Linked DNA regions of Solanum lycopersicum. The protein of the gene in region 1 interacts with the protein of each later gene in a pairwise test. Links are inferred from orthologs where the notes say so. Each region holds a gene or a part of one and is shown on either strand. Other genes may lie near its edges.

Evidence for each region. The genes of interacting proteins can lie anywhere in the genome.
Region 2: the proteins of mediator of RNA polymerase II transcription subunit 25 (region 1) and ethylene-responsive transcription factor ERF098-like interact in a two-hybrid assay, tested with the Arabidopsis thaliana proteins (2 studies listed by BioGRID). The link is inferred for Solanum lycopersicum from reciprocal best matches to the Arabidopsis thaliana genes PFT1 and TDR1.

Annotation. Positions count from the first base shown.
Region 1 is NC_090811.1:29,961,789-29,967,534, forward strand, and holds the end of mediator of RNA polymerase II transcription subunit 25, read right to left. Parts: intron 2,755-5,746; coding exon 2,668-2,754; intron 2,552-2,667; coding exon 2,090-2,551; 3' UTR 1,706-2,089; downstream 1-1,705. UniProt on the Arabidopsis thaliana protein: Component of the Mediator complex, a coactivator involved in the regulated transcription of nearly all RNA polymerase II-dependent genes.
Region 2 is NC_090802.1:1,254,896-1,259,113, forward strand, and holds ethylene-responsive transcription factor ERF098-like, read right to left. Parts: upstream 3,050-4,218; 5' UTR 2,880-3,049; coding exon 2,337-2,879; 3' UTR 2,048-2,336; downstream 1-2,047.

The DNA.
Region 1 (5,746 bases):
AAGAAGCAAGTCAAGAAAAGTTAATAAAGTTTTCAAAAATCTTTTACAAACGTTGTTACTTTGTTTTAAGACTTAAGTTCTAAAAAGTTTTGAAGTTCATTTCTCAAAAGAAGTATATGGAAACTAAGTATACCCGAGAAGTTTAAAATGTTTTCACATTTGAGAAAGAAAGGGAACACTGATTCCAAGAGAGATTTTAAGCTAAGATTTTAGTAATTATCTCAAACCAAAGAAAGAGTTTTGTTTTTACAAATACATGAGCTATGAATCTATTGGAAGTAGTATTGAACATCGATATGGGGATGCGAGTTCATAGCAACTCAAGTCTCGATAAACCATGTAGCCATCATGGGTAGTAAAGAATCATAAGCTAGTGCATCCACTAAGTTAAGTGTTCTATATGACGGAAAAGTATAAGACAATTGTGGCAGTATGGGCAATAAGTTGTATCACCCCTTAGGCTCATAGTGATGGTAATCTGTTAGAAAATATCCCATAGAAACTATATTACTTTATTTTATGAGTAAAGTTGAGTTTTTTATTGCATTGTCTTTAACAAACTAAGTTGCTTTTATTGTTTTATAAATATCATCATATATTGCATGTGTTTCAAGGCTATATTTTGAGTTAAGTTATTCATGAGTTGAGAAGAGTCGATGTAAGTGTTTCTTTTGGAATCCTTTTCAAGCTTATGTATCGTTTAGAATTCCAACTCACATACTCATACATTCAATGTATTGATGTCAGTTAGCCTACATCATATTATGATGCAGACATAGGTAACCAAGATTAACATCCAACGCTTTGTTGATTAGGTTCAGCACTCAAAGTCAATTGGTGAGCCTCCTTGCTTCTAAAGGTCTCTTTTTTCATTACTTTATAATTTTTATTTGTTAGGATGATCGGCGGTTCTGTTCCAATATCCCTATTTGTTTTAGAGGCTTTATAGATAGTTAGCAGTTCAATAGTCTTTACACTATCATTCCATATGTGAAGACTTGAGTTGCCATTTTGGCCAAGTTGAATGTTTGAATTTTTAAGCGTTCTTAGTATTTTATTATTCAAGCGAGTATAGTGTTATTGATCATTATAAATATATATAGAGTCTTTATCTGAGTAAGTAAGCCAGGACAATGGTTCACTTGAGGCCAGCAATTATTTTTGAGTGTCGGTCATGTCAATGGAGTGTTGGTAGCAGGTGTGAAGCGCACCATATCTACAATTACGAGGCCGCGACACTAAGAAAATATTCTCACTTCTTTCATACTCTGAAAAATAGAGTTAGGCTTTTCGAGAAAGATCACAAGAAAAATGAGAATAGGAAAAACAAGATTCGCCAAGAACGATTGACTGTAGATTTTGCCAAAGAATTGATCCTACAAGATAAGTGAGTCTTTCAAAGCATTGGGTCCGTTCACCCACGCGCCAAACATGTTTAATTCTGTGAAATTCGTTTTAAAAGTTTTTGAAAGTTGATATTCTTGTTATGTATTCTTGAATTTGAATGTCTCTCTTTAATTGGGTTGAATTGAAGAGTTTCTGAGATCTTTGCATTGAGTTATAGAGTTATCTTGAGTTAAAATCTAAAATGAATTTGAGAACAATAGTCGAGTTTAGAGAAATTTGCGCTAGCAAATGAAGAAGAAAAGAATGGTACAAGGCGTCCCTACACAGCAAAAGTTACTCAGTCCTAGCAAGCATAATGTAAGGGAAACACATTTTAGTAAGTCATATATGATGGTGAAATCTAGTGAAATGTTGAACCTATGACGTGAATAACTATAGTTGAACAAAAAACCAAAAAGAATACTGATGTTGAGATCAAAAGAAAATAGATTGGTGACCAAATATGCAGTCATGTTCTCACGCCCACGCCCAGAAAATTCCTCCCTCTTCCCCTTTTATTTTGCCTTTACAGCCGCCCCAACCTGATTTGAAGGGCACAAGTAATTTCTATGCTAGAGTCTATAATGAATTTGATTACTTCGAAATTCCATTGTTAAGATATGCACCAAATGCATGGCTACACTTTTGGAATCAACTGCCTGGTCTCACATTTGTACAATGGTTGTCTAGTTCTATGACATTTTCAATTCATAAACCCGCCTCCTGGTATGATTGGCAGTCCTTGTGATGAACCTTGACTCTGAGACATTAGCTGTGACCTTGCAGGACCTTGCATGTAGGTTTGGTTCATCCCTGTTCCAACCATTGGTTGCTGCTGCTGTTGCTGCTGCATTTGCGGAATCTGCTGCTGCTGCTGCATTTGCGGGATCTGCTGCTGCTGCTGCATTTGGTGAATCTGTTGTTGCTGCATTTGGGGAACCTGTGATTGTTGCAACGGAATCTGCTGTTGTTGCTGCAGTTGCATGAGAGGTTGCTGCTGTTGCTGTTGTTGCAGCTGTTGAAGGGGTTGCTGTTGTAGTTGCGTAAGATGCTGCTGCTGCTGTTGCTGCTGTTGCTGCAACTGTGGATGTTGTGCTTGCAGCTGCTGCTGTTGCTGCTGTTGTTGCTGTTGACTTGGTATCTGTGGCTTAAACACCACCATATCCTGAAGACACAAAAATAGCATTACACCGAAGGCTCATGCACAGTAAAACCATTCCTAAAAAAATTGTCAAATTGATCATCAATGAAATAATGCTAAGAGTACATAACATTTCTTACCCCAGGAAAAAGCATTCCAATCAAGCGGCAGGCTTTATCAGAAACAGACAGAAGCAGTGTCTGCGATGGGAGTTGTATTACCGCACACTGGACAATTTGTGGAAGACCACAAGCTTAGTTCATTGAACCAGTTAAAGAAAGAGAAAGCTGTTTCTGGAACAATTAACAAATAACAGAACAAGATTGATGTAAATCTAAGAGCTCTATTACTAAATATAGCCTGCCTCTCTCCAGATATACACAGAGAAAGTAAATAAATAAATCAAGAAGAGGAAACTGGGGAGTGAGATTGCTCAATGCATTATTGTCAACAGACGGGTTAGAAAAGAACATGCAAGCCACCCGTGTAGCTAGGTCTTCTTTAGAATAACAAAACAATTTCACCAAAAAAATTGTTGAGATGCATGTTAGTTCTGATGCAGATTTCAATTGTAAAATAAATTCAGTTCTCATAGTGGATCTTTAATAAATTTGAAGTTGCAGAGATAGATGTCTTAAGCAGTTAAATCTTTATGTTTTGCTTAAAGATGCGGAATAACCAACATATACAAATGCCATATTTTTTTTCCCCAAATAAAAAAGAGATTAAGTGGCCATAGGAATGTCATCTGAATCATCATTTCTCACAATGATGCAAAAACAAGACTGCTGTACTTGGTAAGATCTTCAGCAAGGTTATCACATGTTCACTAAAACAAATTCACCCATCAACCAAACAGGAAGGGAAAAAGTAGTTAACTTGTGTAGTCACTTGAGTTCAACTAACATTTGCAGTAGACTCGCAAATTCTGTAGACAATGCAAAACACCCACGTGAAACTCTAATCTGCAGCTACCTGATGTGTCAAAACTCAAAACAGTTCAACCAGTGTTGTGAAAAGCGCAGAAAAGCGCGCTTCAAAGCGAGGCGACCCTTGTGCGCTTTTTTATCTTGAGGCGAGGCGATCTGAAAAAAGTTCTCGCTTCAGATGAAGAAGCGAGAAGCGACCCTAAGGCAAAAGCGGAATAAAGCGCGCTTTTTATAAAAAAAAAAAGCGACAATTAGGTTTTTTTTAAAAAAATAATCTGAAAATAACCTTCTCTCTCCTCACGACTCTTCTTTCACGACTCTTTCCCTTCTTTCTCTCCTCGCGACTCTTCTTTCACAATACTTTCCCTTCTTTCTCTCCTGACAATCTCGACTGAGGCTGCCTCTCTCTTCAACCTCGACCGCAGGTATCTTTTTGTTCATCTCTTTTTTAGCTAACGTTTATTAGTTCATCTCTATGAGTTTCTTTTCTCCTGAAATATACAATCTTCGTCTGTACTTCATCTCTTCATCTCTCTGAGTTTCGACTACTCTAGTTTTTTTTTCTTCTTCTCTTCTTTTCTTCATCTCTGCTGCCTCCTCTGTTTCTAATTACTGACTGTTGCCTCCTCTGTTTTTTCTTTTCAATTCTTTTGCTTTTTTTTTTTTTAAATTTTGTGATCAGTCTAGCAGTCTTATTGAAGAATAGGAGTTTGAATCTTTGTGATTTAATTACGTTTTTGATTTTTTGCTTTATATGTTATGACTTATGAGTATTTTTGCCTATGTAATTTCTTCAATCTTATGTAATTTCTTTCAATCTAAGACTATATTACCTCTATTTAGTTATTTAATATTTTTTTTATTTTTATACTAAATGTCACTTTTTTTAAAAAAAGAGCGCGCTTTGCATCACGCTTCTCGCTTCTGCGAAACAAGCCCTCGTCGCTTTTTTCCGCTTCTCACTTCTGTGAAGCAAGCCCTCGTCGCTTTTTTCCGCTTCTCGCTTCCCAAAACACTGAGTTCAACATTGATGCACTAGAATAAGCCTCATTTTTAAATCCACATGAAAGGGAAAAAAAACTGTGTTTCATCTACTCCAGTCGATGACAGGCCTAAACATAATTCACAGACAAATGCCAACTTCCACGTGATTTAATACCACAAGGTACCTATTTCAATGTCTGAAACAGCAATTAGTGAAAACAGCTACATTTACCTCAAATAGCTATTCAGTAAATCATATTGTTACTTCATAAGACTGAAAACTGCAGCTTTCAACTTGAGAACTTGATCTCTCCTTCATTGGTCAAGAGAATGGCATGGTGTCTCCTTACATCGTTGTTAATGTATGTGATTAAATAGATGGCATCTCTCTTTACCCTCTGACAGACTATCTACTTTTGGATATTGTGTTCCAGTTGTGGACATTTGGTGTCTTGGGAAAGTAATTAAAAAAATGTGGTTCGTATATCTAGTGTACACAATAATATCGGGCTATCGCAGTGGCAACAAATTAACTTATATGGATCAAGCAACTACTGAAGGAGTTGAAAATCGGAAACACAAAAGGGATGGAATTTGTGTGCAATAATGAAGTTGCAGTTCACATTGTATTGAATCTAGTGTTTCACAAGAGGACCAAACACATACAGATTGATTCTCATTTTGTTAGAGAAAAGGTACTTACTCTCAGAAGGTTCCTGCTATAAGTGATCAGCTTCATATATACTCACCAAGTCCCTAGCCAATCCTAGAACAAGTTATATATCTAAGCAGCTTGGTACATATAATTTGCATGCACCAACTTGAGGAGTGTCAGAATCCTGGGAATATTCTATATCGTGTATAAATAGTAAGTAGCTTGATTTATTCCTATTATAATTGGATATTGATTTATATTGATTTCCTTTCCTTTTTTGGACATGTAAACTTAGCTATTTAAACCTCAATAGCTTGTGAGGAAAATGAAGTTGAGTTCCCTCTAAAACTCTTGTTTTCTCACAACATTATGATACTTTGCTGCATCATGAGAAAATTATGTTTCTATCCAAGTTTCAGTCACAAGCACCTTGACTTTTGTCTCTAAAAACATCTCTACAAGATTAAACAATCTTCTTCGAGCCATTCATAAATGTTGTTTTTTCTACATTTTCGTCTACACTGTTAGAGGGGAGATCCAACCTGTGACTATATGTCCTTCTGGTGAGAATTTATTATTCTCATCTTACAATCCACTAAAGACCTTATTACACTTTCATATCTTCCTAAAAGGTTTAAATATGATACCATG
Region 2 (4,218 bases), on another chromosome or scaffold:
AGGTGTGTGTTACATTTTGGCCCGTAATGTTTTGATTGTTTGAAAATTCAGAACTTAGGTATGTTCGCTAAATCCTATTAATTTATCATGATTAAGTCATAAATTTAGGTGAAAAGGTATAGTAACTATAATTTAATGATATATTAGTGTATCCAAAGGGTAAAATAATTTTAGCAACACTAAATGTTTACACTCATTCAATATATACATGATATATATTTGTACATATGTTTTTTTAACATTTAATCATTATTAATTAACAAGCATGCTCATCTTATTAATAAACATGAACTTTAATTCAAAAATTTTACTGCACATTTATCTACATTGGTAAATTCCTCTAAACATATTAGAATAATATATATCTAATATATATCATGCACCTGATCTTAAAAGAGGATTCAGAATCATCAGTAAGACAAAATAATTTATATTCTTTTGTTTTTAGTCCATAAAAAATCATTTATATTCGAATAATTGTTTTAGCAAATTGCTGCATTATTGTTAAAAATAAAGAGGTAATGTCTTAATCACTTTAATCTGGAAACTTTTCCTTCATATTTTTGTCAAATTAACATCGAGTTGAAACATCTTTTTTGAAATTTACCTTAATTATATTAGCACTTATTCTTGCCTAGTCCTACAGAATATTTAGCATGATTTTTTGATACATAAGCTAAGCTTCTTTAATTTCACTAAATATAAATTTTTTATTTTTTATTCAGTCTGTAAACTAAATCTGAATTTGCATCGAAAAACCTCTTCCAACAAAGAAAATTTTATGTTTAGAGTTCAAATTCGAAATCTTTAGTTAAAAAATAAAAATTGACCCAACTCTTGTTGAGATTTTTGTAGCTGTTATTGAGATAACCTGTCAATGGCATAAAATCAATCACACATATGAGATAAAGAAAAAGATGAACGCAATATTTAGGTTTGACAAATATGCCTATGTTTTAATGTGAAAAAATTAAAAAATCTATCAGGTTCGATATGTGAATACACAATCAGAAAAAATCTTACTAGAAAGATTTTCTTACTTAAATAGATATTACACACTAGAAACGACACAAGCAATACCGCCCAAGATGATGTCCATAATGATATTAATTAAAGTTTATTTGTTTTAAATTTGCCATCAAATTCATAATTCATCTTAATTACGATTAACCATTATATATATCAAAAAAAATCTTATACAAATACAAAAAATAAGTAAATTAGCTACATCTGAACAACAAAATGTCATCAGAAAACTCACACAACATAATTGATGATTAGCCACAAAATTAAATATATCATAGTCATTAATCTTTGTTTGACTTCAAATGCATTACATAAATACTGTAATTTCAGTGAAGATAATATTATAATTTTCCACAAACGTACATTTTAATCTGATCACAATTAAATGTATCATATAGTCTCACCTAAAATGTGACATGTTGAATTATATTTGTTATGTACCAGGATCAAGTATATCACATTTTGTTACTTTCTTTGTCTAATACGAGAGTTCTTTTTCTGATCTGATTAGTTAAAATATTATTTCATCTTCTATCATATATTAAAACCAAATCCTAAATATTCTAAGTCAAATATTTGACCATTTCTGATAAATATTCCAATATAAGTCAAATATTATTAGTGGAATATATAGTTCAATTCCGGCCCCAAAGCTTTTTCAAATTGGAAATTCAATATTTGCATCCAATTGGTCAAACACTCTATTTATATAGTTGTCACAAAGATTATTTTTTCATAACAAAAAATAAAATAAAATTTGGGAATCAAAGTAACCCATTAAGGTATGAACAAAAGAAAAAAATTAAAGATAGACGATCATAAAAAAATATAACAGAATATTTACATGTTCTTTCACCAGTAAGCCTTATGAATAAGGATCGAAACTTCTTCTAGAGAGTATAGTTCCTGTCTTAGTGAGTCATACGCAACGTAAATCGACATGAACATTTTCCAATTGAATATGTATTGAATACAACAAAAAAACAAGTACTATTTCTAATTAGTATCAAACAAGGTGAGGTTTGTTTATATCAACTCTTCGTTGACCATATTATTCCCTTTAAATTCATGCTCTTAAGGCAAACATTATACAAAATAAGTTCTTAATAACAAATATGTTTATAAAAGGAAATTAAAAACGACAACGATGATGAATAAGAAGAAAACGAAGACGAGGAGAAACTCGAAGCTTTTTTCCTATATACTCTATATAGGAATTCATCGCTATTCCTTTCCTCCAATAATATAAAGGTTCATCTGACACACGAGAAATATTAAACTTAAAAATTTAAAAATTACAAAACTTAACCTCACTTTCTTATGATCTTTTTTGGGTCTTCTGCTCCAAGAAGTTCCTCTAAAACACTATCATCAAGATACTCAAACTCAATAATCTCTTTGTCTTGATGACCAATTGATGAAATTCCCCTCTCTAAACTTCTACTTGGAATATTAACATTTAATGATGTACGATAATTATAATAATGTGGATCATTAAGCTTAGAGTAGTACTCATTTGGAAAATTCAAAGTTGCAAGATGTCCCCTTAGGTTAAATGCTGCCTTATCATAGGCCCTAGCCGCGTCCTCGGCCGTATCAAACGTCCCTAGCCATTGACGAGCCCCTTGTCTCGTTGGGTCACGTATCTCCGCTGCAAATTTACCCCACGTACGTTTACGAACGCCTCGATATTTGATCAAATCATTACTATCCTTGCTATTTTCTTTCTCTAATTGTATCACTTTTTTTCCTTTAGAAGAAGATGAAGAAGAACTACTATCCATGTTGATTATTATATGTGAGAGATTTTTTTTTGGTGGCACACACCACATTGACATATTAATTTTGGACATGCCAATGTCTACTTATATAGAGCTAGCTAAAGAGATTGTGACTCATAAGATTGTTGAAATCAATGAATCTTTATTTATTTTTTTTGTCTTACTACACTATGTAAATAATCACATTTTTATGCCATCACGCCACATGTGACTAATCACGTGTTTACACCATCAAATCACATTTACATGTTATAACAAGAAATTATTAGGATTTTTTTTTATACTTAAAAGTGTATGTATATAATTTAAATTGTAAACTTATGTTGTGTTGTTTTATAATGGGTATCTAGAAAAAAAGAACTTTCTTTGCATGGAAGTCTCTTAAAAAATGTCAATAAAATTCGATAATTATTCTACCAAATCTAGTATACTACTATGCTTATATATATTCAAAGAAAAAAAGATAGAGATAAATAGTTGAAGCTACTTTTCACTGCTAAAACTTTATATCTATACAGTGTTTTAGGTTGGAACTTTTTCTTGGAGATAGATTTTGTTGATCAACATGATAGTGAGGTTGCAAGAATATTGTAAGGTGGTACTATAATATAATATAATTAGCCAAACACATATCTAATATGTAATGTTCAAGAATATATATATTATAATTAGTATCAAATGGTCGGGTTGAACTGAATTTGGACGTTAAAATAGATCAAACTAATATATTAGCGAGTTATAGTGTCTCACTCAAAAGTAGCTTGGGCTGAAATGATCTACAAACGTATCATTACAAATTTCCTCAATTCTTATTAGTTATTAAGTTTTAATTTTATATATATATATATATATATATATATATATATATATATATATATATATATATATATATATATATATATATATATATATATATATATATATATTCTTATGAATTATTTGGACAGTATATCAACTCAATATTTTATGAGCTGAAATGAATTAGGATTGAACAATTAACCTAATAAATGAGTAGATTATTAAATCATTTAAATTTAAACGAGTTCAACAAATTATCGTATTTTACAGACTGATTCTCCCACCTTATCAAGAAATTGGATAAGATTCTTATGATCTCCTTGGATCTTACTTTAAGAAGATTTGTCTCCTCAGCTAAAACTTATTAGTTTCATAAGATAAAGGGAATATAATATAATTAAGGGATAATTATAATTTTCAAGAAAATGTACTAGAGTGACCATATTTATGTATTGGTTTGAGTGAGTTTGGGATTGATTATATGTATTTTCAATGTTTATTTTTTGAAGTGTATGATTTTGGACTTCTAATCCCTTTTAAGGTTATCGGTTTTAAATTAATAATTTACACTCTTTTGTTGTAATTTGTTTGGCTTGATAATGAGAACGAGAGT